Schizosaccharomyces pombe: one gene and its partners. The gene in region 3 interacts genetically with the main gene of each other region. Each region holds a gene or a part of one and is shown on either strand. Other genes may lie near its edges.

Region 1 (7,694 bases), on a different chromosome or scaffold from region 3:
GGAAGAGATTTGAGATCTCTGATAAGAGTATCAAGGCTTTCAGGAATGGCATCAGATGGAGTAGTATCTTCAAGGTTATAAACGATCAATGCCAAGTCATAAAAAGCCTGAGTGGTGTCTTCTAAACGGCTTGCCAATGATTTCATTTCATCAGTCATGTCATCTTGGGGCAGCATTTCGAAAACCAAAGATAAAAATAGGTTTAAAGATCAATTTAATGCAGCACAAGTGCACTGAATACAGCAGCCTTCAATTTATTGCTGTCTCAACTGTATAATGGTTATGCTTAAACTACGGTACTTCTTCCAGTTCACTATTTGCAAGTGAGTTGGTTTAATTTTATAGTAATAAGCAAATTACAAAGTCTGTTCTACTAATAGAGAAATACTGAATTCATTATAATATTGATTCCTCCTAAATGTTCTATAAATATTAGCGTCAACAGACAAGATAACTTGAAATAATACTTTCGTTTAGTCAATTTAGCGAAAGCATCATTAGTACGATCTATTTCTTGACTTCCAGGTATACAAGTACAAAAAGCTTTAGCCTTCATGCAATATCACATCGTATTGCTTTAGCCCTGTTCATAGGTTTAACTATTCCGAAAAAGCTATGTATAATTTTTGACTAATTTATTAATAAGTAACCAAGTCAAACAAAAACAAGTTGAAAAGAAAAAAGTTTATTATTTTAAGTAAAAGCATTTAAGTTACGAGAAAAAACGATAAGCAACAGAAGGACAGTCGGAAAAGAAACTCGAAGTTTTAATAAATTAGGACAGTGGCCTCCACACCTTCGTACCTCCCTGTAGGTTTCAAAAGCTTTCATGATTATTGCCCTGCTAAAACCACACGATATCCATAATAAGAAGAACAAATCTGAATGTATCGGCAATTAATTGCATAAAAAAAGGTTAAACGATTAACTTAATTGCGAGTAAAGAGTTAGCTGAAATTCATATTCTTCACGGCACATGAAATAATAATTGATGGCAAAGGGAATTAAGGAATGAATTCAAAACGTAGTATTGAATGCCGGAAAAATGATTAAAAGAATATGTGTGACCTCCAACTGTAAGTCTATTTGAAGCGTAAGCATACCTAGTAAGAAATGGATAGAAATTGTCATTAAACTGTCATTAGTACTACAATCTGCTATCACTCTGAGTGCTTGAAGTTACAGATTCTGTTCCAACAGGAATAACAGATGCAGCCGGGGATGCTGTTGATTCGCTTTCAGTGACTGAGTTTATTTTTGAGCTCTCTCGTTTGGAATTCCTGCCATCTTTATGAATTACGCGACACCATCGACTATGTCCCGGCCATGCTTGATGCTGGCATTCTTTACTGCAATATTTTGTACGTCGGCATCTTCTGCATTTAGCAAATTGACGACTGTGCTCTTCCCATTTGTTACATAACAAATTGGCGCATCGACGTATACCACCATGACTTTCATCTTTCCGACAGTAATTATTCATGATAGCTCTGGCCCAGTATTGAACTTGTGGGGGGTAGAATTTCAAGGTGAACTGCTCGACTAACTGAAAAATATTCCACGTTTTACTGCCGCTACGTAAGGGCGACATACGTAAACTTGGAACATCTTTAGAAGACTCGAAGTAAGGACGCATATGGAAATAGTTTTTACTAGTATAAGCAAGAATTTGCAAACCAAAAAGTATATCTTCTTCACGAGGGAGTTTATTAATCTTCTTATCAAAGTTGTCAAAGAATGAGGCAATCCCGTGATAATCAACTACATTTTCGGGCCTGCGGCCATCTAATAACGCAGATGTAGAAGGAACACCAGGTAAAAGTTGATTACGACGCTGACGATTATTCAAGGCCTGTGATTGAACATTATTTAAAGACAATTGCACATCCCGTGATGAATCCTGAGTAGTAGTCATAATATTAAGCGGAGTTGGAAAGAAAAAATTTGGAGAGTCTATCTCGTCATTAATTGTCTCACTAGCAGGGCCTGTTTGACGAGAGTATGAAGGAGAAGAAGGGGTAGTCATGTTATAATTAACATTTTCAGTAGAAGTAGGAGTAGAGGGTGCAGCTGATGAAATTCTTTGAATGGTTAATGGAGAGTTTGCTTGAACACGAGGATCTTGAAATGAATCATTTGAATAAATGGAGCCGGAGGATCGATCATGACTAGTGGTAGAGCTTGATCCCAATAAATCACGATTCACGGAATGTCGAAACGTAGATTGATTTGGAAGTTGGACATCTCCACTATCCCGTAAATCCACCGAATAAACTCTTCTAGAGCTAGAGCTTGCCGTACTAGCTCCAAATGGAGATGGTACATCACCGTTGACGAACAAAGAGTCAGCAGATGAATTGTGTTGAGACACAGAATCAAGAGAATTGCTAATATTAGAATTAATGGGGAATGGAGCAGATGCGGATGATGGAGGAGGGGTAGTAGAAGGTGTAAGGGAAAATTGAAATCGAGAATGGTGAGAAACAACGGACTCAAGCGCAAACAAAAAATCATCTAAAAGGGTGACAACAATAGGAACGATACCAGCTTCCACAACACGAATTCGAATAGCTTCAGACCCACGTATCCCAACATTTACGACACACTGAAGAGCTAGCTGCCATATTGTCATTCGGGCAAATGTTTGTCCACGTCCGGCACGTAAAATATTCATTAAACGCATCAAACCACCATCCATAGTAAGGATCTCACGAATTTTCGGTGAAGTCGAAGTCAAATAAACGAGATGGCTTAATGAATTCATTAATGACATTTCGGAGTCACAGTCAAGCGCACGTCGATCATAAAGGACTGTATTGATAGTGACAGAAGCTTTGTTATTCCATACGATGCTAACGTTCGATTCCCTCATCTTTCTTTAATAATATATTTAACACGTATAAAGTTTTTTAAAGACAATTGCTGCAGTATAAATTACTGGCAAACGCAAAGATTGGCGTAAAACGAACGATGTGATAATATTTTTTTTAGTTAAAGACAAGCAGTTTTCGAATACCAAAATTTTACTCAATAATTTTCAAAACTGCTGTGTGTAAACGCAATAACCGAAGAGAAAAACCAAGAACAAACGCCGATAGCAGGAAGAATAAGTAGTGCCCCAAAATCACGAAAACGAAAAAAAATAAAAATTACTGTTTTCGCAGATTTTAAGTCCCGCCGAATTTGAAATCCTTTTAAGCAATCTACACCAATTATTCTTCAAAACGAGTAAACGTAAAAGGGACTACGGTTAGCTCAAGCTTGAAGTCAAGAACTGATAAAGGAGCAAAAAAAATACTAAAAGAAAAAGGAAGTAAGGAGCAAGGGCACTTTTTTAGCCGAGAAGCGACACAGATCAAGTAAGTTCAACAATAGGAAGTATAACAACGAAAAAGTTGTAACCCGGGGTCTGCTAAAATCACGAGGCTAAAGAAAGAGAGAAGTGGCAAACAAAAAAAACCCGAGATTAACGAAGATACAAAGAGAGAATGAATAAGAATAGTTTGATGAAAACCACAATAACCTTGAAAATAAAAATAAAGGATATGCTCAGTACCTTTTTAGACAAGATTAGTGGAAAATCAAATCACAGCTGACAAGAGTAAGAGAAGAGAGAATAGCACAAGATGATTTGCATCAATTAAAAAAGTAAAGTTCGAAGAAAAATGTTAGGATTTGGAAAAGGAAAACGGTGGTGAAGCTAAATCAGCCTTGTTGATAAACAAAGAATAAGTGTTTTCTTATAATCGCAAGGATTTAGCTTAAAAACCACAGTAAATAGTTTTTGCAAGTCCCTTAATTTTAATTGAATGAATTCTTTTTACGAAAATTTCCCGGATCCTCGTTCTCTTATTCAGATTCTTGGAAGTGGCAGTTGACAGAAGGCAACTTCATTTCACCCGAGTGTCAACCGAGTTTGAAAACGATCGTCAGTGAACGTACCTTTAAGGCACCATAACGCAAAGTATGCTGGGTTGTTACTGGCTATAATGGTTGGGAACTCTCGGCGATCTTTGATGCTGGATGTTACCTTTGAAGAGATCGACATCTCGGCAACAATAACTCAAAAAACTTGCTGCAACTTTAACTAGCAACAGTTGGTATTTCTTTCACTATAGTCAGTCATTTTTTATTCATACGAACATCTTTGTGTCTTTAAGTTTTTAGCAGAATCTGTGTATGAATTTTTTCTTTTAAGTCAAAATGTTGCCTAATACGTTGGTCGCATAAGCCGATTTTTGTATTCTGTAAATTCACTTTAGCAGAACATTTGGGTAAACCGGTCCGAATAAGCTGTCAGTGCTGAAAATAACCAATGTCAGATTTTGTAATCTCATTTGATTGACAAGTTCATCAGATCAGCACAACTCCAAACCAGCCGCTTCTTTACCTGTGAGTCCTGCCACTTTGAGTAACAAAACTAAAATTAGTCGCACTGGTAGATACTCGATCGTATGTCAATGGGGCAAGGTAAAGAACAATCAATTTATAAATATAAATATGTACATATTAAATATATTTTGGATTGGATTTTTCATTTTATTGTATTTTAATGTGTTATTTACGAATTGCGTTGGATTCTTCAAAATTGTCATGTTTACAACTTTCTCATTTCTACAAGTGTGATTCCCTCAACATAATATCCATAAATTTTTCGCTTATCTTGCTTAGTAAGTAAACTCAGATCGAAACTCAAGGTTAATAATACTAATATGGATTGCTTGTCTTATTTCTACGCGCCATTCCGGCCTTTCAAATGCAAAAACAGTTATTTTATTATTATCCGAACAGTCCAAAGCGCTGAATATCCTCAACTTCGTAACAACGTCCATTTACATGACCCATTGCCTCGTAAACAATTAATTACTAATATTTTACACGATTACTAAATATTAAACTGATAGCGCCAATAAATGTCATATGTAATCTAGGCCTCCAGCTTCTTTTTAGCCATTTCCTCTTTCCATTTTCGCGAAAGTTCGAGCATTTTGCGCATCTTATCTCCTTGATCAGTCGCCGTATCCGGAAACAGATAGTCCAAATATTCTTCGAATGAACCGTCTTCAAGTCTACGGCGTTTCTTAACAACCTGTGGCATTAGTGAAGAGACATGCTTACGTGTATCTTCCGTGCCATGCATTGCCTCAAATTGTTTCCATGCTTCAAGTAATACAACTCGCTCTTCCTTCAAACCCTGCTGGCGTAAATGGGCCAATGCATTTTCAAAAACATTTCGCGCACGCACAACAGCGGTTGGAGAAGCCACTTCTTCATTCGGTGGTTCTTCGTCATCGTCCTCCAGATGGGCAATTTCAAAGTTTGCAAAACTAATCCAAACTTTAACATGAGGTGCAGTCCGTAGTAACTGCTGGTAAATACTTCTAGCTTTTCCGTATTCCATTTCCTCGAATTCAAAATCAATATAAGCCTTCCACACAAGCTCTGGGGTTTCCAAAATAGGCTGGTTTACAGCCAAATTATATAAAGCGCGAGCACGATCACTATCTCCAAGCTTAGTCTCTAAGGCAGCGTAACCAAGCCAGGGAGCACAAGCCTCGGGATCATAAAGAATCCATTTTTCATAAAGAATTCGACACCTGTCAAACTGCTTAATTGCGTCTTCGAATTCAATATAACCTCGGAATAATTTTGGTTTTGGACACATTCCCAACGCACGACCCAACGTTTTTCTAGCAACATCAATCTTACGTTGCCTAAGCTCAAACATTGCATACATGAGCCATAATTTGGCAAATGTAAATTTTTTATGGGGTATAAGCTTGAGAGCTTCTTGGTAAACCTTTCTTGCGCGGTCAACGTCCTTCACATCTATCTCTTCAAATAAGCAATAGTTTAACCAAATATAAACGTAACGTCTCCATGCGTTCTTTTCAACTACTTCAGGAACCTTAGCAATAGCTTTTTCGTAGGTTTCGCGAATAGTATTAATATCCCCTGCACTTTCTTCGAGCTTCAGCAAATCAAGCCAAGTGTCATAGTCATAAGGAGAATCCTTCAATAGCTTTTCGTATTGTAATCGACGCTTATCGAGCACAGTAGACTCAACGCCCAAATGATCTCCAAATTGTTTTTCAAAATGAGTGTATTCCTTATATAGTTCCATAGATTTTGATCGGGGCATAAAATCAATTGCATATTTGAAAATGGTGCGAGCTCGTTCATATTCCTTTTGACGAATTTCGAATTTTGCAAAAGCAATAAAAAACCGTTCATTCAGAAACTCCTGACCAAGAGCATCTATAGCAGCCAAATAGACTTGGCGAACGTTTGCAGCATTTCCGCATTCTTCTTCAAAACGAGCCCAACGAAGCCAATTCGTTACTTCAGGATGCACAACGACAAATCGTTCATATATGCCACGAGCCCGTTCGTTTTCATGGTACCTCCTCTCCATTCGAATATAACTCATCCAACAGTTTTCATCAGGCTCCCACTTAAGCCATCTTTCAAATACTTGTCTACAACCGGTGATATTTCCTAACATTTCCTCCATATATACGTATTTGTACCATAGTTTATCAACACGGGGAAGCTGTGTAACAGCACGATCAAATAAATTTCTGGCATGGTTGATATTTCGATTCTTCATTTCGCATTCAATATATTTCAGCCATAACGGTATATAAGTAGAATCTACATCCAAAGCTCTTTCAAAAACAGAGCGAGCTCTCGCAAATTCTTTTTGGTCTAATTCCCACTGACCATATCGCATCCAATGGCCCATAGCGAGACGATTCCGTCGAATGGCATCTTCAAATTCTTTACGTTTTCGACCTTGAAATTCTTGAAGCTCCTCAAGATCAGTGATATTAATTTTTGGAGGAACAAACGCCACATCTTGTCGTTCTACAGCTTCTCGGAGCAATTGTTCAGCTGAGATTTGGATGGGTGCTGGGTTCTTATTTTTTACCCTGGGCGCTTCCGAAGTCATCTTATATTATTCTGGATCTCTATAGTGTACAATTACTCAATAAATAATATGCTAGATTTATGTCTTCTCTTAACCAGTTGGCTTTTACTGTTAGAAGACAAAAACGTGCACAAATATGAATGAATATATCTAACGTTTGTAACCCTCGAGGTGGTAATCGGCAACACCGCGGATCATCCGAGAGGAGACCGCGGCTACAACCTAGTAACTTATTGTAGCAATGGTCTGCAGCTCCTATATACTCAATAATATGTTCAAACGGTATTGCTCTAAATTGGATTTATAATTTTGTAGGATGATTGCTAACCTCAACAGATTTAACTCTAGAGAAGATATAAAGGGAACTACTCCAATCAAGTCTTCTATTCAAAGAGGAATAAAAGCAAAACTAGTACAAGCTTATCCTAACTTAAAACAAGTTATCGATGAGTTAATTCCCAAAAAATCACAACTAACTCAAATAAAATGGTTCGTTCTTATCAGCATCCGTGATTTTTAGTATGTCGTACTGATATTGTTTAAGTGAGGATCGTTTATTTTTGTATACTTTGAATGGCGAAATTATCCTTTTCCAGCACTTCGACGGCCCTATCATTCCTTCTCTTCGTCTTGTTCATAAATGTGAGTATAAGCTAACGTAACCGCAACGTTTGATTGGAGTTCTGGTTTTTGTCTAGCTGGTCAGAATCGACAACAACATATCTGTGTTTAGTTCAAATATATACTAATACGCCTAGGTCCG
Region 2 (5,874 bases), 650 kb from region 3:
AATCGTAATTTATATACAACTCTACAAGAGCTCTTGGATTAAGACAGATTCTCTGGATGATTAACAAGGTATGGAGCTTCTGATTGTAGGAGGTGTTCTTGAGGTCTAACATCGGAAAATAAACTTCTCGAAAAAACACTTCAATTTCCTGTTTGAAGTGGGCACGCAAAGAAAAAACCATAAGATAAAAAATGTCACAACAGACTTCAAACACCTGGGGAACAGGACTTACAGCATTGCGAGATAATACTAGGCAAATATATTGACGGGAGGCATGAACAAGGGTCATTCCTTTAAGTGCTGGGATACCACGAAATTGGAGAGTAGGATCCATGAATAAGTCACTATTTTTTTCTAAAATGCGATATATAAGATGGAGACTAATTAATTTCGCGCGCATAGCTTGAGATCTGATATTACTGACTTTATCAGGCGAGGTTTGTCTGACAGCAAGTCGACACATGGATCGGAACACTAAAAACGCGTCTTGGATAGAGGAATTCTCAACACTGGTGACAGCTGGGTCATCTGCGTCAACTTTAACATGATCTAATGATGAAGTGCCAGCAGATGCCATAGAATGAAGAGTAATTTTCTTGTCAGGCTCATCCTCATCGTGAACCCAATTTTCCGTCACCGATGCATCTTCTTCCGGTAAAGCAGATGTAGAGTTCGACTGAGTGTGGCTCGCGCGTAATCGTTCATAGACTACAGTGACAGCCTGAGTCAAAGAAGCTTGAGCAACTGACTGTATAGTATCACTATCCCCGAGAAGAAAGACATTAAAGAGTTTACGAACAGAATTCAATAATATCGCTCCATGAAGCATACTATCCTGCTCAGAACATAAGATAAAGGCAGATAAAGCTTTTACAACATTCAATTGCAGATTTCCATCAACAACTTCATCATTGATACTATCGCATACCATATCAACCATACACTGTAGAAGGGATTTAGGGGGCCCAAATGAGGCAGGTGTTTTATCTTTTGAAGAAAAATAGGCGAATGAAGCAAGTTTAGAAATAGTGTCTAAAGAAATGTTCATAACTTCATCTTGACTGGATTCAAAGCAGTACTGAAATAACTCTACTATCAAAAATTTGTCAAACTGACATTCGGTTTGTAGAAGAGGTTTTAGTTGCTCCATTAAATTCTTCATCTTCTCGTTCTTCATACAAACTTTTATTTGTATAAGCTGCTCGATGCACTTTATAAGCACTACATGAGTGGATTTTTCCAAATTGGTTAAACCTGATTTTTGCTTTTCCAAACTGGCCCTCGATGCAGCGTCAGGTACAGGCGTCGCGATAGTTTCATTGGATTTTTTGTCGTCTTTCAAGTCTTCTTCTTGATATTTCTGCTCGATTCCTTCGGGACTCTTTTCGTTTTCTTGTTTCGCTGGCGACAACGACGAATCTTCTGTATTTATATCAATACTTACCACAGCATCGCCTTCTAAACTTTCAGAAGCAACACGACCGAGATCCATACCATTTTCATCATCTTCGTTGTCAGAATCATTAATAATTTTAGTAACTGATGTTGTTCCAACTTCTGGAAGATCTTCGTGTCTGTCATGTTGCTCATTCACGGAGTTCATAGGCAGAGCAGGCATATTGATCACAGGTTCAGAGGCATCCTGCATTTTGGCATCGGTCACGTTCAAGCCAATTGCCGTCTAGACGAGCCAACTTTTAGCAATGAAATATAAGGCGGAGTATGTCTTTGCTAAGTGTTTTCGGCCTTAATGTGTCGAACGTTAGATCTCGGTTCAATGTGCTACTTATATAAAGCAAACGAGCGAGACTTATAATAAATTGTTTTATTACAGTATGGATTAAATAGTAAACATTATAACTAGATTTATACAATATTCGTTGTTTTACTGAAACTTTTATTGTCGATATTGACCGTGAACGTTTTCTTATTTCTTTTTTACAGGACAGCATTCCTTAAACTGTAAAAGGATTAAGGAATTAAACAAAATGTACGATTTCTACCATTTTAAACATGTTCTAAAAAAAAGAAACAAACAAAGTTAAGTATTAATATTAGGCTACATTTTTTCGTCCCCTTAAAAATCCCAAAAAAAAATATCATAAAGTTTAAGAAAAGGATATCAGTCCAAGGTTTCAAATTGACCATTTAAAAATTCGACAAACATTTCCTTGAGAACATTGGTATTATATGATTGTTGCCGGTTAATTTGGATAAATTGACGGCGCAATCTTTGAAGTAAAGGAAGAGATACTGTAACACTGGGTAATGCGATTTGAAGTTTGCTCCCTGGTACAGTAATCAAGGAGGTATCGTTGGAATTATCCAGTATAAGCATGATTACGTCTTGAGTAGTTTTATCTAATTCATATAAATAGTTGACTTCAGCTGGAGGTTTTACCATTGTAGCTTGGTTAGGCTTGACATTTTTGTTATGAATAAGAACTGACCAGATGTCATCGATAGGACAAGAAGCATCATCGTGCAAGACAGTAAATAAAGGGGAATCCCATCGTGTCATTCCATTCGGTTCTTCATAACGAAACATTAATTGCTCAAGAACATCGTCAGGATACGGCTGTTCCTTGTTACTATTGAATTTTCGACATAAATCTTGAGGAACAGCAACATGAATCACACAATGAGTTGTGTACATAGACTTTGATTCACAATATAACTGGTATCGAAATCCTTTTATGTAATTCAAGGCATCGCAAATTACGAATGTAGATTTTGAAAGTTCACGCTGAACAGCAGAATAGAGAAGGCCACGAGCGGCCTTTTCGTTCTTGGACTCTAAGACAAATTAGTTACCAGAATTACGAAAAATTGCATATACGGATTCTCCCATCATCTAGAGTAGCTGGGCACAATCTGAAGCCAAAAATGAATTGGCTAATTTCCAAAAACTAAATCATTAAAGATAACTATTTAAACATACCTCGATATGTTTCTTTTTCAATGTTTAAACTCTCATCGTTTATTATTATCACCCGATAATCCTTTGTATTGTCGATATTTTGATGAATTCGATCTTCTAAAGCCTTTTTAAGTTCATTTGACCTCGTTGTTTTCCCTGAAGATGGATAACCTGAAACAATTATTAATGGCATTTTCTTTATGTTCTACAAAATAGAAGGTTGAATAAAATCAGCCGTAAAACATATGTTTGAAAACTTCCAGCTTTTTTTTGATATATTTTTTCATGAATTTAACGAAAATTACTAGTTCGTTAAACATTAGTAAACAGTTAATTTTTATCCTTAATTTGTATTTCGTAATGCGCTCAATTTCGGTACTGACTTATTACTTACGACTAGTAAGTATTGCTTAGGCTTAAAAACACAGTAATTTCAATTTGCGGTCTCTTTAATTTAATCTTGCTTCCCTTTACCTTATCAATTGTTCTAAAAGAATTAAGGATTAACACTAGTAAGACCCCGGATTTTAATCGCTAAAAAAACATGCACGCCTTCTACGCAATCAGGGTTGTTCAATTTAAAAATAGTAATCATTTGTTGAAAGATTTTAAAGGTGCATAGGACATCAAGAAATATAAGCTAAATGCAGTTGATTAAAAGTTAGAAAAGTATCTACTTATGCCGCCATTAACATGTATCTGGTAAAATGCGACTAACTTATAACACATGTTGTATACCAGTCCAATGATTAATTTAGTACCCTGGAAAACGTCTTGAATATTGGGTAAAGAAAAATCAGAACTTAAAGAAACCTAGGCTGAAATATTTTTTTTTTAAATAACTATTCAGTTTGCCAGAGAGTGTAACAAAATTAAAGAAAGAGAAATATAATTGCATTCATCATAGGACTGCCAGTTTCATAGCAAATAAGCAGACCTAATATTAAAAAAGCAATTTTATCGGCTCAATTTTAGTCAAGCGTACAGCTGGCAAATAAATTGTTAGCAATTTAAACCAATTTATGTATCCGAAGATCATAAACAACTGCATATGTCAGAAATAAACTATCAAAAAAAAAAAAAATCCACGTAAATTTCATACCGTCCTCAGATCTTTTCAAATCATATTTTAATCCATCGAAATGTCTTCTTAAGGAGTCGTTTTTCAAAGAGAGTACTTGAAAAGAAGAATGAACTTTTTGAATAGTATTTAGGGCCTCAAATGGAATATGATAGTTTCCAGATATTACTGAGTTTACAGATTGACGAGCCTAGAAATTGTGTCAATTTGGATTGTTGAATAGAATATATACCAGTTCAGAACACAGAGATAGTACTGCGTGCAAATATTGCTCAATTGAAAGATGAAAAGTGGACTCTTCTGGAAAAACCGGGACTGAAGATTGTGAGAAAAATGTAAAATAATTTACGCACCTTGCAAAATTTGACCAACTTCGGAAAGCGATAGAAGGCTGTACGTGGGTCTTAAACTTTTATCTAAACGACCGGTCCAGGAAGCTAGCAAATATAAATAAACAACTTTCTGAATTGATCGATCCCAGACTCCGTTATATTTATAGTATGGAAAATTCGATGCCAATTCTGCTAATCCTCTGGTTTTGCTTTTAATGATCTCAAGAGCTTCTAAAATTTCTTCCTGATTTTCTAAATCTTCCAAAGTTAGTCCATGTTCTTTTTCTTGTAAATTTTCATTTCTACTTTGTTCACAGTTTGCCAAGAGAAGTTGCAAAACTCTTAACTTTTCGTCTAACAAATCGACCTCTGCAGTCAGTTTCTGTAATGTTAGTTTGTCATAATTTCCAAGATTAGTACCTCCCGAATACTATGTTCTTTATCAATTTGATCTTGTAGCTGAATAAATATTGATTTATTCATTCGACTTAATCTGTAATGTATGCTGTTGAGTAGTGTTGATATTCGAATGATGTTTTCAGTATGCAAATAACACGACCGTTGTGATATTTATCAGCCAGATTATACCAACCTTTTTCTTAAGTCGTAAAATAAAGATAATCAATTTAGCGGGTATTTTGCAAGTTATTAACTAAAATTATTACTAGCTGCTAAAGAAACGCTTGGGTTGTTTAGATCTTTTATATGTAAAATGATATATTATGTAACTGAAGAAGAATCTAACCTAATTGAATAATTTCCTTTAAATTAATCTAAGCTTACAAAATAAGTTTCATCAGCCAACATTATTTAAAATTAAAATCATGCTGATTTCGAACCTCGAGTTTCAGGAGGCAGAAAAGTAATTCCACTGCCATCGCACATACGTCGAAAGTGACCATTATTATGATAAAGTACGGCTGGGGGACCATACTCTACCAATACACCCTTATCCAAGACCATGACTTTGTCATAATCAACAATAGTTTTCAAACGATGGGCAATACATAACATAGTTGCATCGCCAAATGCTTCACGCAATGTTTTTTGAATTTTCTGATCCATAGCATCATCCACAGAGGCAGTACACTCATCTAGAATAATAATTTTGGAACGTCTAACTATTGCGCGTGCTAATGCAAGGACTTGTTTTTGCCCTTGTGAAAAATTAGAACCTTCAGAAGCAACATGTGTATCTAGTGTGATATGAATAGGTTTTTGATCATCAGTATGAGCCATAATCATTGAACTGGCTCCACTTGTTTTGAGAGCTTCATTAAGAAAATTGTCTTCAAGCTCGTCGAAAGGATCTAAATTACTGCGTACGGTACCTGAAAATAAGATTGGATCTTGAGGGATAAATGATATACGTTGCCTTAAAGCGTTTAGGTTTACCGATTGTGTTTCACGACCGTTAATATATATTTCACCACTAATACGATGTGTAAACCGTAATAGTGTAAGGCCAAGAGTACTCTTTCCGCTACCAGTACGACCGACCACAGCAACCTTTTCACTCGGATTTATATGAAGATTCACGT
Region 3 (8,378 bases):
TTCAAACGTTTATTCCGTTGTGTTCGTGCATCTCTAATATCATACTGTAGTCATCTCGTCCTTAACAAAGATTCTGAAAGCGTTGCTTTAGAAGAATTTATCATTTCTCAATGTGAACAAAATACACAATGCGCACTCATTACATTTTGGTATTTGCAAGCCCATATGGTGGATCTAGGTTTACAGCCGCATTCTTCTTGTTTTAAAATATGTAAACGACTTTACAATCGTATTCAGATTTTGGTTTTCATGTCATCATCATCGTTAATACAGTCCCAACAAAAAATCTCCGAAAATGTAACCCCTGCCCTAATCCTTTCAGGCATCATGCTAGGTGGTGTTTGTGTGCCTGAACTACTAAAAAAAGCTGGCCCCATTGCAATTGCTCAAGGCCGTAAAGCCCCTAGGCAAGATCCAGATGAATCAGATGTTGATGTTTTACGCCGTCTTTCCACCGAACCTCGATATTCTCTGGACGTATTACGTTCGTCTTTGAACAACTCTATTGTCGAGCAACATTCCGAAGTATCCCTTAGACTAAAAGCTCCAGAACTAACCCGCACCCATTCATATCAATCATCAGCTACATTATCTATTGACGAACAGCGTCGTGTTCTACGCTCTAATTATTTTCAACAAGAAATTCAATTTCTTTTTGCTTTACAAGATATATCTATCCGTCTCATCATTGTACCTAGACAAGCTCGCCTTTCTTCATTACGCGCCGAACTTGCTCTTTTAAATAACAACCTTCCAGCCGATGTGAACATACCGCTTTTACGATCATATCATAAAGAAGTGAGTCATAAAATCGTTCGCATTGATCCTAAAGAGGCTACCATACTCAATTCTGCCGAACGAGTACCTTATCTTATTATGGTTGAGGTCCTATCTGGTGAACTCAGCTTCGAGCCACAATCGAAGAAAAATAAGGCTAAGGTGCAAAAGATTGTCTCTCATAAAAACCAAAGAAAAAGGTGGTTTGACCTCACAGATGTCGATCCTTATACGAACCTTCAAGACAGTACCGACAATGATATTTCAGAGTCGGAAAGTGAGGGAGGGGATTTAAGTATGTCTCCTCTGATAAAAGGGTTGGTACCGGACACTCTTTCTTTGAGTAAGTCATTCTCTTCGTTTGGTAATGTATCTTTGCAGGTACCGTCCTCTCATAGAGATACCGATGTCGTCCTGTTATCTGGGCGCCACTCTGATTCTGATGGAAATGGCGCCTTAAAAAGAAGTAAAATCTATGCTTCAGAAATAACAGCGAGAATGCGAGCTGCGGCAACTATGCTAAGTCAGCTTGATGCTGAAGGTAGCAGACGTCCCAAAGCTGAGACTGAACGAATAAAAAATAGCATTATTCTTGACATGCAAAGACTCGAAGAAGAGCGCCTTAATGAACCATCCATTTATCCTGTTTCAGTCGACATATCATGCGCAGAAGATCTGCGATTTGGCAAAGAAACTCAAAAGGCAGAACGGAAAGGTGATAGAGATGATCCCAGTGCCGCTACATTCCAAGAAGATTGGTATGCCAAGAAGGAAAGGATAAGAAAGTCTTCTCCTTATGGTCATTATCCCAATTGGGATTTGGTCAGTGTGATTGTTAAAACGGGTGCGGATCTCCGGCAAGAGACATTTGCCTGTCAACTTATATACGCGTTTCAGCGTGTTTGGCTAGAGTGTAAAGAAAAGGTTTGGGTTCGAAGGATGAAAATTTTAGTGACCGGCGACAATAGTGGCTTAATAGAAACGATTACAAATGCCATTAGTGTTCACTCTATTAAAAAGAATTTGACGAAACAGCTTCGGGAAGCTGAACTAGCCCAAGGAAAAATTGCTGGTAAAAATGTTGTTACATTGAAGGATTATTTTATAAAGCAGTTTGGTGATCCCAACAGCAGCCGGTATCGACAGGCACAGACAAATTTCCTTCAATCATTAGTGGCATATAGCATTATATCATACTTACTACAGTTAAAGGATAGACATAATGGTAACGTTCTTATTGATAGTGAAGGTCATATTATACATATTGATTTTGGCTTTTTACTTACGAATACACCGGGGAATGTTGGCTTTGAAAGCGCTCCATTTAAGCTTACGGCGGATTATTTAGAAATCCTTGACGACCGGTTTGATGAATATCGTTCCTTGATGAAAGCTGCGTTTAAATCTGTTCGAAAAAACGCTGATCAGATCATTTTGCTTGTTGAAGTTATGCAAAATAATTCCACAATGCCTTGCTTTCGTGCTGGTGAAAACACAAGTGCACAACTTTTGCAACGTTTTCAACTACAGCTTGGTGACAAAGAATGTGATGACTTTGTGGATTTGTTGATTCAAAAGGCAAATTGTAGTGTTTGGACGAGACTTTATGATCTGTTTCAAAATATTACGAACGGAATTTACTAGTAAGTGGCTATTCGTTTTCTCTTTTCATTTTTTTCGAATACAGCTACGGAGCTTCCACACTTGAACCATACTGCTGGTTGGCTTTTTTAACTTTCAATATTGTATTAAAATCACCACATTCACCATGGTTCGTAAATTTGGTAATTTTTTTGTTAGCTAGATTAGCTATATTAATGCATTAAAAATATTTTATGTGATCTATATGATTTATCATACCCACTAGAAACCCTTGCAATTATAATATACTATTAAAGCATACTGTCTAAATTAACTGCATTTCTAAGTTAGCAAACAATTTGGCGTAGTTAAATCCGGGTTAAAGAATCCTTTCGCACTTCCGTATATTGACATACCAAATTTTAAAGTAAGATTAGGTACTGCAACCCACTTCAATTTACCCTTTACCATCAAATTGAAAAATTAGGCGCAAACAGTAATTGTATATTAGAACTTGGAATTTTTTTCTTTTCATTTATAATTTTGTGTTATAATCCTTTGTTCCTTCTTCTACTAGGGGTTGTTTCTTTGCACAATATTGTAGTTGACATTGGTTAATGGGGTATCTTCATATTGATTACAGTATTCGTGATATAACAAAGAAATTTGGTAGGAAAATTTTAGTGTTGATTAATAGTTTTTCTTATCAGGATTATATCCAACTGAGGTGAATTATTACTTGAGACTTTACATCATTAAATTTTATGCAGGTATTAAGTCGTGATTATATCAGTCAAACAAGTACCTTTTGAATTCATTTTCATACCTCTTCTTGCTTGAAAGAAAGAAAATCCCTTTTTGCATCTACAAGCAATTAATCCAACAGTGACATTTTGTGTTCGTATTTTCTTTTACAATAATCGTACATAAATTGGTTTTTTGAGTGATTATAAAATGATGAATAAGTGGGCAAAAAATTGGTTCGGGCTGTCTAAAAAATCGGTTTCCACCAATTCTGCTAAAGGGTCACTTCCCCGAAGTCCTTTGGCAAGCATCCAAACCAATCAACCAGTTGAGGAAGGTGAAGGTGGTTCACTTCCTTCAGTTTCAAATTTAGGTCCTTCCTCGATAGACCATCCCATGGAAGAATTCGCCAGTGACCAGTCTACGGTTGGTAACAGAAATAGTAATGATATATTACCTGAAGTTGACCATGAACCTTCAGGCTATTTGAAACTTCAAATAGGTTCATTAGTTTTGGGAGGACCTCATACTGATGCAGCATTAGCCATGGAATGCTCAAGACTTAATCAGTTGTTTGTTGTTGTTCAATTTGGTACGACGGAGTTTGTTTCACCTCCATTGAAATGGGAATCACCTGGCCGTGATATAGGCACATCTAGTCGGGATTCTGCTAATGTGAGTAGGAGTTCATCTATGATGAGCTCTCATCCCATTCCTACTCCTGCAATTCAACGTACGTCTTCAATTCCAAATCCCTTAACTCCATCTTATGTTGTATTTGATGTTGCTAAACCGGTCCCCATCGATGTTAATATTTATGACCATGGTAATAATAATGAATTTGTTGGGAGAACTTACATTCACCCGTCTTATAATTATGGTCAATTTGAACAGTTTTGCAACAGCGTTGAAGTTTCTCCCGCATACAACCGTATGGTTGATCTTCGTCTTTCTCTCAATACTGTTTTCCAGCCTCTCAGTCAACACTCCTACGGCCCTGATGACTTCGTTCCGTTGAAATTAATTGGAAAAGGTACATTTGGTCAAGTCTATCTTGTTCGTAAAAAAGACACCGAGCGCGTATACGCAATGAAAGTACTTTCCAAAAAAGTAATAGTCCGTCGCAAAGAAGTTGCACACACTGTTGGGGAAAGAGACATTCTCGTCCAAACTTCTGCAGCTGATTCGCCCTTCATCGTTGCTTTACGTTTCTCTTTTCAGACCCCCAAAGATTTATATTTGGTGACAGATTATATGGCTGGAGGCGAATTATTTTGGCACCTTCAAAAATCGGTACGATTTCCAGAAGAAAGGGCAAAATTCTATATTGCCGAATTGTTGCTTGCTTTGCAAGCGTTGCATAAACGAGGAATTGTATATCGGGATTTGAAACCTGAAAACATTCTTTTGGACGTTCAAGGACATATTGCCTTATGTGATTTCGGTTTGTCAAAGGCCAATCTTTCAGTGGGGACTACTACACGTACGTTTTGCGGTACCACGGATTATCTAGCTCCTGAGGTTATTTTAGACGAAGCAGGGTATGATATGATGGTTGACTTCTGGTCTTTAGGGGTACTTTTGTACGAGATGACATGTGGCTGGAGCCCTTTCTACGCTGATAACACACAACAACTTTACAAGAATATCGTGTTTGGTAAAGTCCGTTTTCCTAGAGGGTTGCTATCTGTAGAAGCCAGAGATTTGATTAAGCTATTATTGAATCGTAATCCAAAGCATAGGCTTGGTGCACATGGGGATGTTGAAGAGGTAATGAAGCATCCATTTTTTGATGGAATTGATTGGAAGAAACTCGCTGCGAAAGAAATTAGTCCACCATTTAAACCAATAGTGGAAGGTGAAATAGATGTTTCTAATTTTGATGTCGAGTTTACAAATAAAGCAATCGATAGAGACTTTAGTAGCACAGATGAAATGTCGACCTCTGCACCTTTATCATCAACTGTCCAAAATGGGTTTAAGGGTTTTACCTATATTGACGCAAGTGCTATGGATGAAGCATTCGGATACCACAACTCAAATGATTCTGCTTCTAGTATTTCCAGTCAAGATGATTATTCTAAGGACAATTCCGATATGGACTTAAATCGTGCGAACGATGAGGTATTTATGGGACAAATAGATCCATAATACGTTTGGTCTCCACGAATGTATCACTGCATTGAGAATCTTATGCCCATATTTTTTCTAGGCTGGATCCCTGAACCCGAGAGTATCTTTTTGTACACGCTTTCAATCGTTGTACTATTTTCTTATTTACTAGTTGTCCAGCAAAATTTCAACATGTATTTTGAAGGACAGGTAAATAATGTTTTAATTTAATCAGCGCTTAATCATTGAAGCGTATCGTTTTAATTTTTTTTTATTTCCCTTCTAAGAATGATTTTTTAGGATTGTTATTAAGATGCCTGTTTATGTGGAAGCAGGTTCGGGTGAAGTTCATTTTTTTTCGGTGCATATTAAGGGAATACTTAATGATCAAAGGATCTATTATTTCTATATTTTAATCTACGTTCACCAGGCTTTTTTGGTGTAATGTTGGGCTTGTATGGCGTTGAATCAACTAATTTTGGAACAAATTGTGCTTAGTTTTTTTGGTTCCGAACTATGACTTAATTGTGTACAGTGGTAATTACACAATTCCAAAATTCGTTGAATTGGCTGACATTAGTAGTAAGGTATTTTGCTTTACTAAGTAATTGTCATCTTGCTTAAGGCTATTCTATCTCCAATTGTAATGTCTTCGATTTTGTTCCTCTCCTTATTTTTTTTTTATTTTTCTCTTTTGCTGGATAGACGTTTATTCAGTTAGGTTGAAGTTCAGTTTTACGAATGTATAATGGTGTATGTTAGAATCTAGTTAAAGACATATTCTTTTAAACGCAAAGGAATTTAAAAAAAAGAAAAGACAAAGTACAATAGCAGTATTATTGATGCCCTCCTTGAGGGTCGTTTTGTAATAGATCTTCAGATGAAGATGTATTTGGATACTGTCGTATACGATAATTTGTTTTAGATATAACGATAATGACATAAAAATTTTTTAACTATGGTTTTGGAAACCAGTTTATCGATTTTTATTTTACTTGTGATTCTCTTCATTCATTTGTCTTGTGGGTCTTTGCCACAAATATTCGATATAATGTTTATAAAAACTAAATATGTAAAAAAATAACCTGTACATTCATTTTATTAAAAAAAGTAATTATAATAAATATTCTTTAACTTATGGTACACATAATATTGTTATCATGTATGGTCTTGATGGAGAAAAGGTAAATAACTAAACTAAAAAATTTAAAACGAAGTAAAAAATATCGGTAAGTACGAAAAATAGATAAAATTTAATAAAAAAAGGAAAAAAAAAAAAACAATTACATTTTCTCAAAAATCACTTGAAAACTAAAGACTCTTCTTGTTTTGTAATACTAGACTTATTCAATTTGACTAAGTAAAACACACTTGTATAATAAATAGTATATTTTATTTGTAATGATAACAAGGTCTCGTGGCCCAATGGTTAAGGCGCTTGACTACGGATCAAGAGATTCCAGGTTCGACTCCTGGCGGGATCGTTTTTTCAAAAGCTCAAATATCGTGAATACTGTAAAATACCTTTTAAGATCGTGCGTCTATGTATCCTATTGCAATCCAGTAAACTGCATATGCATAGAGGGATTGTGTTTTTAAAAGCAATTAACCTCGGTAATATTATGTATTTATTTTTTTTGGCGTAGACACGCCTTTGATAAAGAAGCGATATGAGTTAACAAAAATTGAAGATAAAATTTATTATTAATAGGTTCCTAAGATTGCGTCCGAGACCATTCACTCGAAACTTCACCGAGATGGTATTTCATTAAATAACGCAACCTAACGATATATCATAAATTAGATAAGGCATATTTGGAATTCGCAAAACGCAGCTTAAGTAGAAGCTCGCATCTCAAATATGTGCGTTGTAGGGAGCGCGAATTTTTACCTGCTCTTAGCCAACTTGAACATACAAGGACGGGAAAGAATTTAGGGGGAATATGAGGTTTGTAGAGCTAAATGCCTTCAAAGTATTTATTACTAACGGAAATTTAGGGTACATACTTGCTATTTCTGCTCGGGTCCTGTTTACCCAGGACATGGAATAATGTTTGTTAGAAATGACTCCAAGGTCTTTCGTTTCTGTCGCAGCAAGTGCCATAAGAACTTCAAAATGAAGCGCAATCCTCGTAAGGTATGTTTTTTTTATAATAAAGGAATGCAAAAACGTTATACAGACTTGGTTGAGGAAGATGATTGATTTTGAAAGAGGAAAAATTTTTTTCTGTTGCCTTGTTTTGAAATGATACTTTTCTTCTTCAAATTCTACCTTAAATGGTGTACTTTTTCCTTTATATGCCCATGAACGAAGAAAGTTTTCTATTGTTTTTTTAAATGTTTTGCTTCCACCTATATGTATGTATACTAACTTCAATGTCTAGGTTGCTTGGACCAAAGCGTACCGTAAGGCACATGGAAAGGAAATGGTTTATGACACAGCTCTCGCAGTTACCGCAGCTCGTAGAAATGTTCCTGTTCGTTACGACCGTAATGTCATTGCAACTACTTTGAATGCCATGAAACGGGTTAGCCAAGTTCATGCCAAGAGAGAGCGTCTGTTTTACAAAAAGAGATTGGCTGGCAAACGTGCCCAAGAGCTTCAAGAAGCTCAAAAACTCATTGCTCAAAATGTTCCTCAATTTACCGAACCCGAAGGTGAGGTTGAAACTGCTGAGGTACAAGAACCCCAAATTGTTTCCGACGAGGAGTATACCATGGAAGAAGAAGTTGCAGAACCTGTCAAGATTCCCGTCCTCGCCAAAAAACGCAAAAACAAGAAATCTCGAAACTCATCTTCAGCCATGCAAATGGACTAAACACTCTTCTTCCTACAAAAATGTAACTCTCGATCTTCCGTTGGTTGCGTCCCGCTTCGTTCTTTTATTTTATTTTATTTTATTGTTTTATTCCTTTCAAATTTACAAAATAGTAGAAGAGAAGACATTTTTGGGGAGTGGTTTTCTTACACTTTCGAACTCTTTAGACACTTCGAAAACGTGTTTTTTAAAATTTATCTTGCATATCTAAAGTTGGCATTTGGTTTCGGCTTCTCTTCTCGTTTGGTTACTTCTTTGGACTTGCATGCTACGTGCAGATTAATATGGTTAATAATGGATTTTCGTGTATACATACTTGTAAACGAACCTATCTTCAGTTTGGAG
Region 4 (8,466 bases), 2.9 Mb from region 3:
AGGCATTTAACTCCATCACCTGAGAAAAAAAGTTGCTATAAAAATGTCCTGTTTCATTGTCACTATGAGATAAGTCGGATTTCGAATTGCCCATTGATAATTTTGAAAGTCTATACGCAAGAGATGAATCTATGGAGTCAGGGTTAAACTCTGATCCCATTTGAGCAGATTTTTGAGTGCAACCCTGAGTGTTAAGCACTAAATCCCTTTGCCAGTGAAGTTGATACATATCCAAAACCCTTGTTATCAGCTTCTTTTGATACTCATGCAATTTATTTTGAAGTAGCTCAGAACGGCGATAAGCTGTAAGGTATTCCTTAGAGAAATAGTCACTCGTTGAATGTGATAAGCCAGCTAACTTTTGACTCGCGATATTAATTGATTTTTTGCGATTAGACAAGTCATCTTCTATAAGCTGTTTGCGGGAATGCAAGTCACACGATAACGATTTCTTTTCGTTTAGAGAGGCAGCAAGGTTCTGTAGTCGATAAGTTAATTCCTCTTTTTGGGTAATCTTTCCTTTTAGAGAGAAACTTTCTGATTTCAATTTAGCAACCTTTTCAAGCTCTGACTCAATATCTCGAGAGAATTCATCACGTTTATGATAAAAATCATAAAGCTGCTTTTTTAAACAGCTTTCGCAAATAGAAGGACGTCTTGTTTCGCATAATTGGCATTTATTGACATGCAGCATACAAACACACCTTCAGTTTAGATCCAACAATGCCTTCAAGTGGTACGCAAATTTCAATTATAGCACAGCAATAAGAAAACTTAAAAACCCAGCAGGATATTAATTTCCTACTACGTTAACTGTCAACTTGTATACAATATAGGTGTTGTTAAAATAATGAAGCAAAAACAAAGAAGAAAAAGGGAAAAAAAATAAACAGCGCAGGTTTTTAAACAATTATTCTTAGAAACGAAGGGCCTCCTAACGGACAAATTCAAAAATATTAATTTAAAAGTGAAACTGCATTCCTGGCTGTTCTTGCAGAATTGAACAACCAATGCGATATTTTTGACAGAAAAAACGACAAATATTAAGAAAAAATTATATTATACGAATTCAATGCAATGAGTAGATGGACTTCTATTTCTTCAAATCCCCGAAGTAGCTACTTAGCAGTTGATGTTCGTATTGATTACTACAATCGTATGCAAATAGTTACTTTATAAAGCGTTTAAAAATATTTCCTTAAAGTAGCCTGTTACTCGACACTCAAATTTTTGCTAAATAACTTTGAGTGATGAGCAAGGTGTTTTACAAAACTATTTTATCTAAATAAATAGGTTAATAAAATATTAACTAAATAATATAATCCTAGAACCCAAACCATCCTCTTTTAACATTAGCTTTTGCAGTATCACCTAGAAAACATAACGTGGTACGCTGCCATAATATAACGAAACACTATTTGTTGTCATATTTCTTAAGGTTCAGTGACAAAAGATCTCTAGTATCTGCAGTTATGTTTAATGATTTTATTAAAACTATAAAAGAATAAAGACAATTTCGCCACGGTATCTTTTGCTAAATGTTTAGTAATATAAAGAGCAAGTTGCCATCATGATATAGCTTTACCATAAACTACGTTACAACGTTTAAGGCATTATTTAGCATCAGTATTTGGGACCACTACCACCATATCACGCCCCCGTGCCACATCAAGAACAAACTACCAGCATAGTGTGCTCTTGAATTATACCGAATAATTCCATAATACAAAAGAAGGTATTGGGTGACTGGAGTCTTTTTCTTTAACAATCCGATTCATTGAGTGTTATTATTTTAATTTTGGTAATTTTCTTTTTCTTTTTTTAAACAAAGATTGTTTTTGGATAGCCAAAGTATAAGTCGTTTTTGGTGATCTTTAATTGCGAGTATTTGTTTATTGCTAGAGCTTACCAAGTTTGCTTCATCTTAAACATCAGGAAAATTTTAAATTTATATTTTAAAATTTTTTTGTCTACTTTTCATTTACATTTTATTTTTCTTCATTAAATTCTGCATATCATCTCGAAACAACGCTTATGTATTAGAAGAAGGTGGTCTATCCTAATTAACTCATACACATCTCGTAACTAAAGGAATTGTTTCTTGTTTTAGAAATTGCAATAAGTTTTGGCCCTCAAAATTTTTTGTAATCTGCTGTTCCCATATTAAGTTTTCAACTATTTGAGTTACCAAGAAACGCGTGAAACAAGAAATCTGTATTGTTTTGTCGTTATTTCTTCCATTTTAATTAATCTTAGGAGAATTTAAAAAGTTTCAATCTTTTTGCATCTATTCTCGGCGCTCTTAATTCGTGTGATAAAATTATTCATAATATACACGTGACCTTACATATTTTTTCTCCAAATCCTATATTTTAGATTCAATTTTCTTTTGCCATTTGCTTGGATACATTGATTGTTACTTAATTATGGATGGAAAAAGAAAAATAGAGCATACCGCTGATGGCACGCATTACGACGCGACTTCCAACGTGAAGCGCAAGCCAATTTTCCCCCCTTTCATTGCTGATTCGCTTTCAGAAGCTACCGAAAAAGCTAATGTTATGGGGGGTGGTATGAATTCGCGACTTCAGATTCTTTCAGAGATGTCTAAACGAGTTCAGGCTACTGCACCCATTTCAAGTTTAGAACATTTCAAGCAGTTGAGTGATATTTCTCCCTCATTTACTTCCTCTGCTAACTCCATAAATCAACCATATAATTATTCCGGTTCGTTAGAAAATCTTGTTCCTACACCTTCTGCTGGCACTCCTTCGCAATTTATGGATGCCCAAAATCCATACGGCGCTGTTTACAATGCTTTATCTCAATTCTCTGAGACAGAGCCCAAAATGCCCTCTTACATGGATGACGAAGAAGCAAGCGATTCTTTACCTCTTTCATTATCGTCTCAATCACTGAGTTCACAGGTTACAAATCAAAAGCCAGCCCCACATCGTCTTACAATGAGAGAACGATATGCTGCTAATAATCTTACTAACGGACTTCAATTTACCTTGCCATTGTCATCTCGAAAGACTTATGAGCCTGAAGCTGACGATGACAGCAATGATGATATGTACTCTGATGATGATTCAAATGCAGATCGCTGGGCATCTCGTATAGATACTGCTGCTCTAAAGGAGGAAGTTCTTAAATATATGAATCGTTGTTCAACACAGGATTTGGCTGACATGACAGGTTGTACGCTTGCTGAAGCTGAATTTATGGTTGCCAAAAGACCTTTTCCAGATCTTGAATCTGCTTTGGTCGTTAAGCAACCTCGTCCGGTGATTCCCAAAGGTAGACGAGGTAGACGTGAAAAAACTCCTCTTGGACCACGTTTAGTTGGTATATGTATGGAAATTATGCGTGGTTATTTCGTAGTGGATGCGCTTATTCGTCAGTGTGAGCAGCTAGGTGGTAAAATTCAGCGCGGCATTGAAGCGTGGGGCTTGTCAAACACTGCTACATCTGATGAAGGTGAAACTTCTCTTGTCAACTTTGATCAAATGAAAAGTTTCGGTACGCCTGCAAATTCCTCGTTTATCACTACACCTCCTGCATCTTTTTCGCCCGATATCAAACTACAGGATTATCAGATCATTGGGATTAATTGGCTTTACCTTTTGTACGAGCTCAAACTGGCTGGTATCCTGGCTGATGAAATGGGGCTCGGTAAAACTTGTCAAACCATCGCTTTTTTCTCATTACTCATGGATAAAAATATTAACGGGCCACATTTGGTAATTGCACCTGCTTCAACGATGGAGAATTGGTTACGTGAATTTGCCAAGTTCTGTCCCAAGCTAAAAATTGAACTTTATTATGGATCGCAAGTCGAACGTGAAGAAATTCGTGAACGTATCAACTCTAATAAAGATTCTTATAACGTTATGTTAACCACCTACCGTTTAGCCGCTACTAGTAAGGCTGATCGTTTGTTTTTGCGCAACCAAAAGTTCAATGTTTGTGTATATGACGAAGGTCATTACTTGAAAAACCGTGCGTCTGAGAGATATCGTCATTTGATGAGTATTCCTGCCGACTTTCGAGTTTTGCTAACTGGTACACCGCTACAGAATAATCTTAAAGAATTAATTTCGCTTTTAGCGTTCATTCTTCCTCATGTATTTGATTATGGTTTGAAAAGTTTAGATGTCATTTTTACTATGAAAAAATCCCCAGAAAGCGACTTTGAACGAGCATTGCTTTCAGAACAGCGAGTATCGAGAGCCAAAATGATGATGGCCCCATTTGTCCTTCGCCGTAAAAAGAGCCAGGTGTTAGATGCTTTGCCGAAGAAAACGCGTATTATAGAATTTTGCGAATTTTCCGAAGAGGAACGTCGCCGTTATGATGACTTCGCTAGCAAACAAAGTGTAAATTCTTTATTGGATGAAAATGTCATGAAAACTAATTTAGATACGAATGCAAATCTTGCAAAGAAGAAAAGCACAGCTGGTTTTGTGCTTGTACAGCTTCGTAAGCTTGCGGATCACCCTATGTTGTTTCGAATTCATTATAAAGATGATATCCTTCGACAAATGGCGAAAGCTATTATGAATGAACCCCAATACAAAAAGGCAAACGAACTTTATATATTTGAAGACATGCAGTACATGTCAGATATTGAGCTACATAATTTGTGTTGCAAATTTCCGTCTATCAATTCATTCCAACTTAAAGATGAACCTTGGATGGACGCCACAAAGGTCAGAAAACTTAAAAAACTGCTCACTAATGCTGTTGAAAATGGCGACAGAGTTGTATTATTTAGTCAGTTTACACAGGTTTTGGACATTCTTCAACTTGTCATGAAATCATTAAATCTAAAGTTTTTAAGATTTGATGGTTCTACACAAGTCGATTTCCGCCAGGATCTCATCGATCAATTTTATGCTGATGAAAGCATTAATGTATTTCTTCTTTCTACCAAAGCCGGCGGTTTTGGTATCAATCTTGCGTGTGCTAATATGGTTATTCTTTATGATGTCTCTTTCAATCCATTCGATGACCTTCAGGCGGAAGATAGAGCACATAGAGTTGGCCAAAAGAAAGAAGTTACAGTTTATAAATTTGTTGTCAAGGATACCATCGAAGAGCACATTCAACGTTTAGCCAACGCTAAAATTGCTTTGGATGCGACTCTTTCCGGCAATGCCGAAACTGTGGAGGCTGAAGATGACGATGATTAGTTTATACAGGGTTTTTTATGCATTAGTTTTAAAATAGTCAAATTGATTAGGTTTCTACTTTATTCGAGTAAACCTTTCTCTTTATTTTCAATTGTATTATCTGTATTTGTGTTTTGCACGTTATAAGTCGATCCCGTTTCACTAAATCAGATTAAAAGATTTGATTTGTAAAAGTAAATTCTATTTATTGAATGATACAAATTCAGTACTTCTTCAACCTAATATGAAAGCTTTTAGCTTCTTGACACCATTTATATACCACGCCAAAAACGCGTCGTGAAAATGGTCAGTCTTTTTTGAAGATAATACAGCAAATAAGCGATTCTTATTATCCAAAGTCGTTCTAAAACTTGCAAAACAAAAGTTGACAGAGGAAAGCACTTCACCTAGTAAGTTTATGAAATCATATTATTACATTTTATTTCTCAACTTCGAATAATAGTAATCGAATAAATAATGAATTTTGTTCAATTTTAATACTACAAAGAGTGTTAAATGCTGAATCTTTATATGTGGAAGCTAAGTCGCTCTCAAGTTTATCAAGCTTCATTATTATTTGGAAGCAGAGTAATTAGTGCTCTTGCATTTACAAATACCGGTCTAGTTTTGCATGGCCCAAGAAGATGGTATACTACTGATAATGGATTTTTGTTGCACCGCGATTCTAAGGTTTCGTTAGCCGATTATATTCATGAATCTACGTTTGATCCCAGCAAGGGTTACTATTCTCGACTTTGGACAGGCTCAACCAATAATTTGAGCCATTCTGTACATGTATTAAGGAAAGAAGGGCATAAATGTTCCAAAGAATTTGATCCTTTTTTGCATGGAATACCTATTCCTCAAAAGGCATTAAACATCTATGAAAAGCAAAGGTCTCTATTCTCTGAGTCCATTAGTAACTACTTGGTGTTGCAGTATAAACTTCGATATTTCCCGGTGTTTGATTTGAAAATATATGATTTTCATTCTGGGACTGGAATAATAGCATTGGATATTCTTGATTATCTTTATAAAAATCACCTTGAAGTTTATGGACGTACTACATACAATATAGTCTTGCATAATTCTTGGCAAGCAAGCTGGTTTAAGAGCATGTTGACATCTGTGAGATATGCAAAGCATGGAGATCATATTGATATATATGTTAGTGATCCATTAACGTGGAACCATACTGATACAAATCCTTGCTTTGTATTGGCATTACAGGTAATTAGCTCCTTCGGTCATGATTTATTTCGTCAGAGTAACGGCGCCATGATGATGGAACGGTGCTGGCTTGGTCCAGAGCACTTTTTAAACGAATTCTTCACTCTAAATACTCACCAAAAAGTTAGCTCTTTGAATTACCATTTAGCATTTCAACAAGCTAGGATTAATGTTCAGCAAGGGTTTAGCGACAGCAGGGCTAAACGGTACTTTTCCGGTGTTAAACAAGTATTTTGGTCCTTTTTTAGCACGCAAAAACTCACATACTATCCTACGAAAGCCATTAGATTTTTTGAACGATTGTCAAAACAGTTTCCGCACCACAGTCTGCTTTTGATGGACGTGTGTCACGTTGACAAATCCTTGCCTGGAATCAATGCACCGTCTGTTTTAAGTATGGAAAATGATTTTTCTACAAAAAAAATGTCTTCTAACATTGGGCACGTGTTTCAAAATGAGACCGTCAAATATGTGTTTCCCACACCTTTATATCTAGTTTCAGATATACTTCAGCTTGCTACTCATAATCGGTCCTTCATTTGTTCACTTCCCCATTTCTTAAGGCGATGGTCTAATGAACATGGTAGAAAGTTTTTCGTTCCTGTAGAACCGTCATCTAAAAACCTAAAAGTTCCTTATTCCTTCAACAATTACTACGTTGTCTCGTCTATGCCAACTTATTATTACTAAATGGCAAGTACTATTTTTCTTATTCTTTGTTCAACTTGAGAGGTGCACTAAGCGGGCTAGTGAATTGACTTTAGTTATTTATTTATTTATTTTTTGAAAATTGGTTATAAATAAAATAGCTTTAAATTGGAAAGAATATCATATTCAGTTAGGGTTGAAAAGGTTAAATAATGAAATTGCCAGTGTCAACTCGAAAGAGAATGCGAGCTTTAAACTGCATAAATAATTAAATATCGGAAATTTATACAATCTTCAAACGCAAGCCGTATTCAGTTTTGTATTGAACATCGATTGAATTGCTATAATCTTCCTATTAAAGATTTTGCAATAAACATTAATAATCCATTGAAATTTTTTTTTTTTTTTTTAAGAATCGAATTTTATTGTATTAAGACGTGATCCTAAACGCATTGTATAATATCATTGTGTTTTATTTTCCTGGGGTTTTTTTTTATTGCTTATTTAATTAATTAATTATTTATTTAATTAGTTAATTTATTTGCTTAGTTTATTACAACTCGTTCATCTTTTTATTTGGTTTTTTACTTTTAATTATTATTTCTTTTTTAATCATTCTTGAGAAATCGCTCTGTTTTGATTATGCGATTTATTTGCTATTGTCTTTTAGCACCTACAAATTTCTCAAGAATATTATCCTGTATGATGTTTTACATATGAATATATGAAATTGATTGATTTAAAATTGATACTATGATGAGAAAGGGAAGAGGTTTAACACTTCATTCTATAACCGTTTTCTTTTGTTTTCAGTGCTGACCAATTCCTTGCATACACAAAAACTTTCCAAGGATGATGATGGACTGGCTGACCATCAATGCATTTTGCACTTAAAATAGCGTACGTTTTATCGATTTACCGATGTTTTCCATTGGGTTGTGTTAAATTAGAGGTGACCGTAACCATGTTATTTTCCCAGTACTAAGTTAGTAGGAAAGCTATAGAGAAACCCAAAGTCCCCCACTTAGGCCAACAGTGGCGCAGCTACATCGATAAAGCAAAGATGAAAATAGCGATACAAAAGGTCAACACCAAAAACTCATCAAGCGAGCCAAAGTATGTAACCTCAGTTTACAGAAAATGGGACAGGTAATAACAAATGCCAACACCTGTGGAATGAAAGTATTTCAAGCACAAAATCGGTTTGTTTGATCTAAAGTGAGCATGAATGAGAGAGAAAGAAATAAAATAATAATAGAATCATTGTTTGAATAGGATTAGTCAGAAATGGTTCAATTTTCACAATCCTAGGATGAACCAAAGGTAGTTTACGTAATCTTGGTAATCAACCGCTGGTCCCAAAAAAACAGGAAATAAAAAAAAACACATCGGAGGCTTTCAAAAAATCTATATA

What was found.
Region 1: mutations in sck2 (region 3) and mub1 together harm fitness more than expected from each alone (negative genetic interaction), as found in Schizosaccharomyces pombe (2 studies listed by BioGRID).
Region 2: mutations in sck2 (region 3) and kti12 together harm fitness more than expected from each alone (negative genetic interaction), as found in Schizosaccharomyces pombe (2 studies listed by BioGRID).
Region 4: mutations in sck2 (region 3) and fft3 together harm fitness less than expected from each alone (positive genetic interaction), as found in Schizosaccharomyces pombe (2 studies listed by BioGRID).

What each region holds. Positions count from the first base shown.
Region 1 is NC_003423.3:3,766,106-3,773,799, forward strand, and holds mub1 (armadillo-type fold protein, zf-MYND type zinc finger protein, Mub1-Rad6-Ubr2 ubiquitin ligase complex Mub1), read right to left. Parts: upstream 3,880-7,694; 5' UTR 2,873-3,879; coding exon 1,148-2,872; 3' UTR 501-1,147; downstream 1-500. Other genes in the region: mediator complex subunit Med10, read right to left, coding at 1-176; protein Cwf4, read right to left, coding at 4,928-6,952; RNA-binding protein Tma20, read left to right, coding at 7,203-7,213, 7,268-7,420, 7,476-7,573, 7,690-7,694.
Region 2 is NC_003424.3:4,390,777-4,396,650, forward strand, and holds kti12 (elongator complex-associated protein Kti2), read right to left. Parts: upstream 3,182-5,874; 5' UTR 3,114-3,181; coding exon 2,942-3,113; exon of another isoform or gene 2,797-2,941; coding exon 2,123-2,796; 3' UTR 2,037-2,122; downstream 1-2,036. Other genes in the region: Sec7 domain-containing protein sec72, read right to left, coding at 1-1,648; tsn1 (translin), read right to left, coding at 3,931-3,965, 4,023-4,191, 4,234-4,316, 4,355-4,591, 4,640-4,715, 4,754-4,816; vacuolar phytochelatin and glutathione S-conjugate ABC family transmembrane transporter Abc4, read right to left, coding at 5,156-5,874. UniProt on the Schizosaccharomyces pombe protein: Elongator complex-associated factor that is not a structural subunit but rather transiently contacts the complex.
Region 3 is NC_003424.3:5,043,452-5,051,829, reverse strand, and holds sck2 (serine/threonine protein kinase S6K family Sck2), read left to right. Parts: upstream 1-2,817; 5' UTR 2,818-3,312; coding exon 3,313-5,253; 3' UTR 5,254-6,214; downstream 6,215-8,378. Other genes in the region: Golgi-specific 1-phosphatidylinositol 4-kinase, type III-beta Pik1, read left to right, coding at 51-2,421; ribosome biogenesis protein rlp24, read left to right, coding at 7,158-7,162, 7,213-7,351, 7,599-8,033. UniProt on the Schizosaccharomyces pombe protein: Protein kinase that is part of growth control pathway which is at least partially redundant with the cAMP pathway.
Region 4 is NC_003424.3:2,095,010-2,103,475, reverse strand, and holds fft3 (protein Fft3), read left to right. Parts: upstream 1-1,670; 5' UTR 1,671-2,426; coding exon 2,427-5,195; 3' UTR 5,196-5,281; downstream 5,282-8,466. Other genes in the region: protein Atg14, read right to left, coding at 1-694; SPOM_SPAC25A8.03C (uncharacterized protein), read left to right, coding at 5,691-7,094. UniProt on the Schizosaccharomyces pombe protein: DNA helicase that possesses intrinsic ATP-dependent nucleosome-remodeling activity and is required for heterochromatin organization.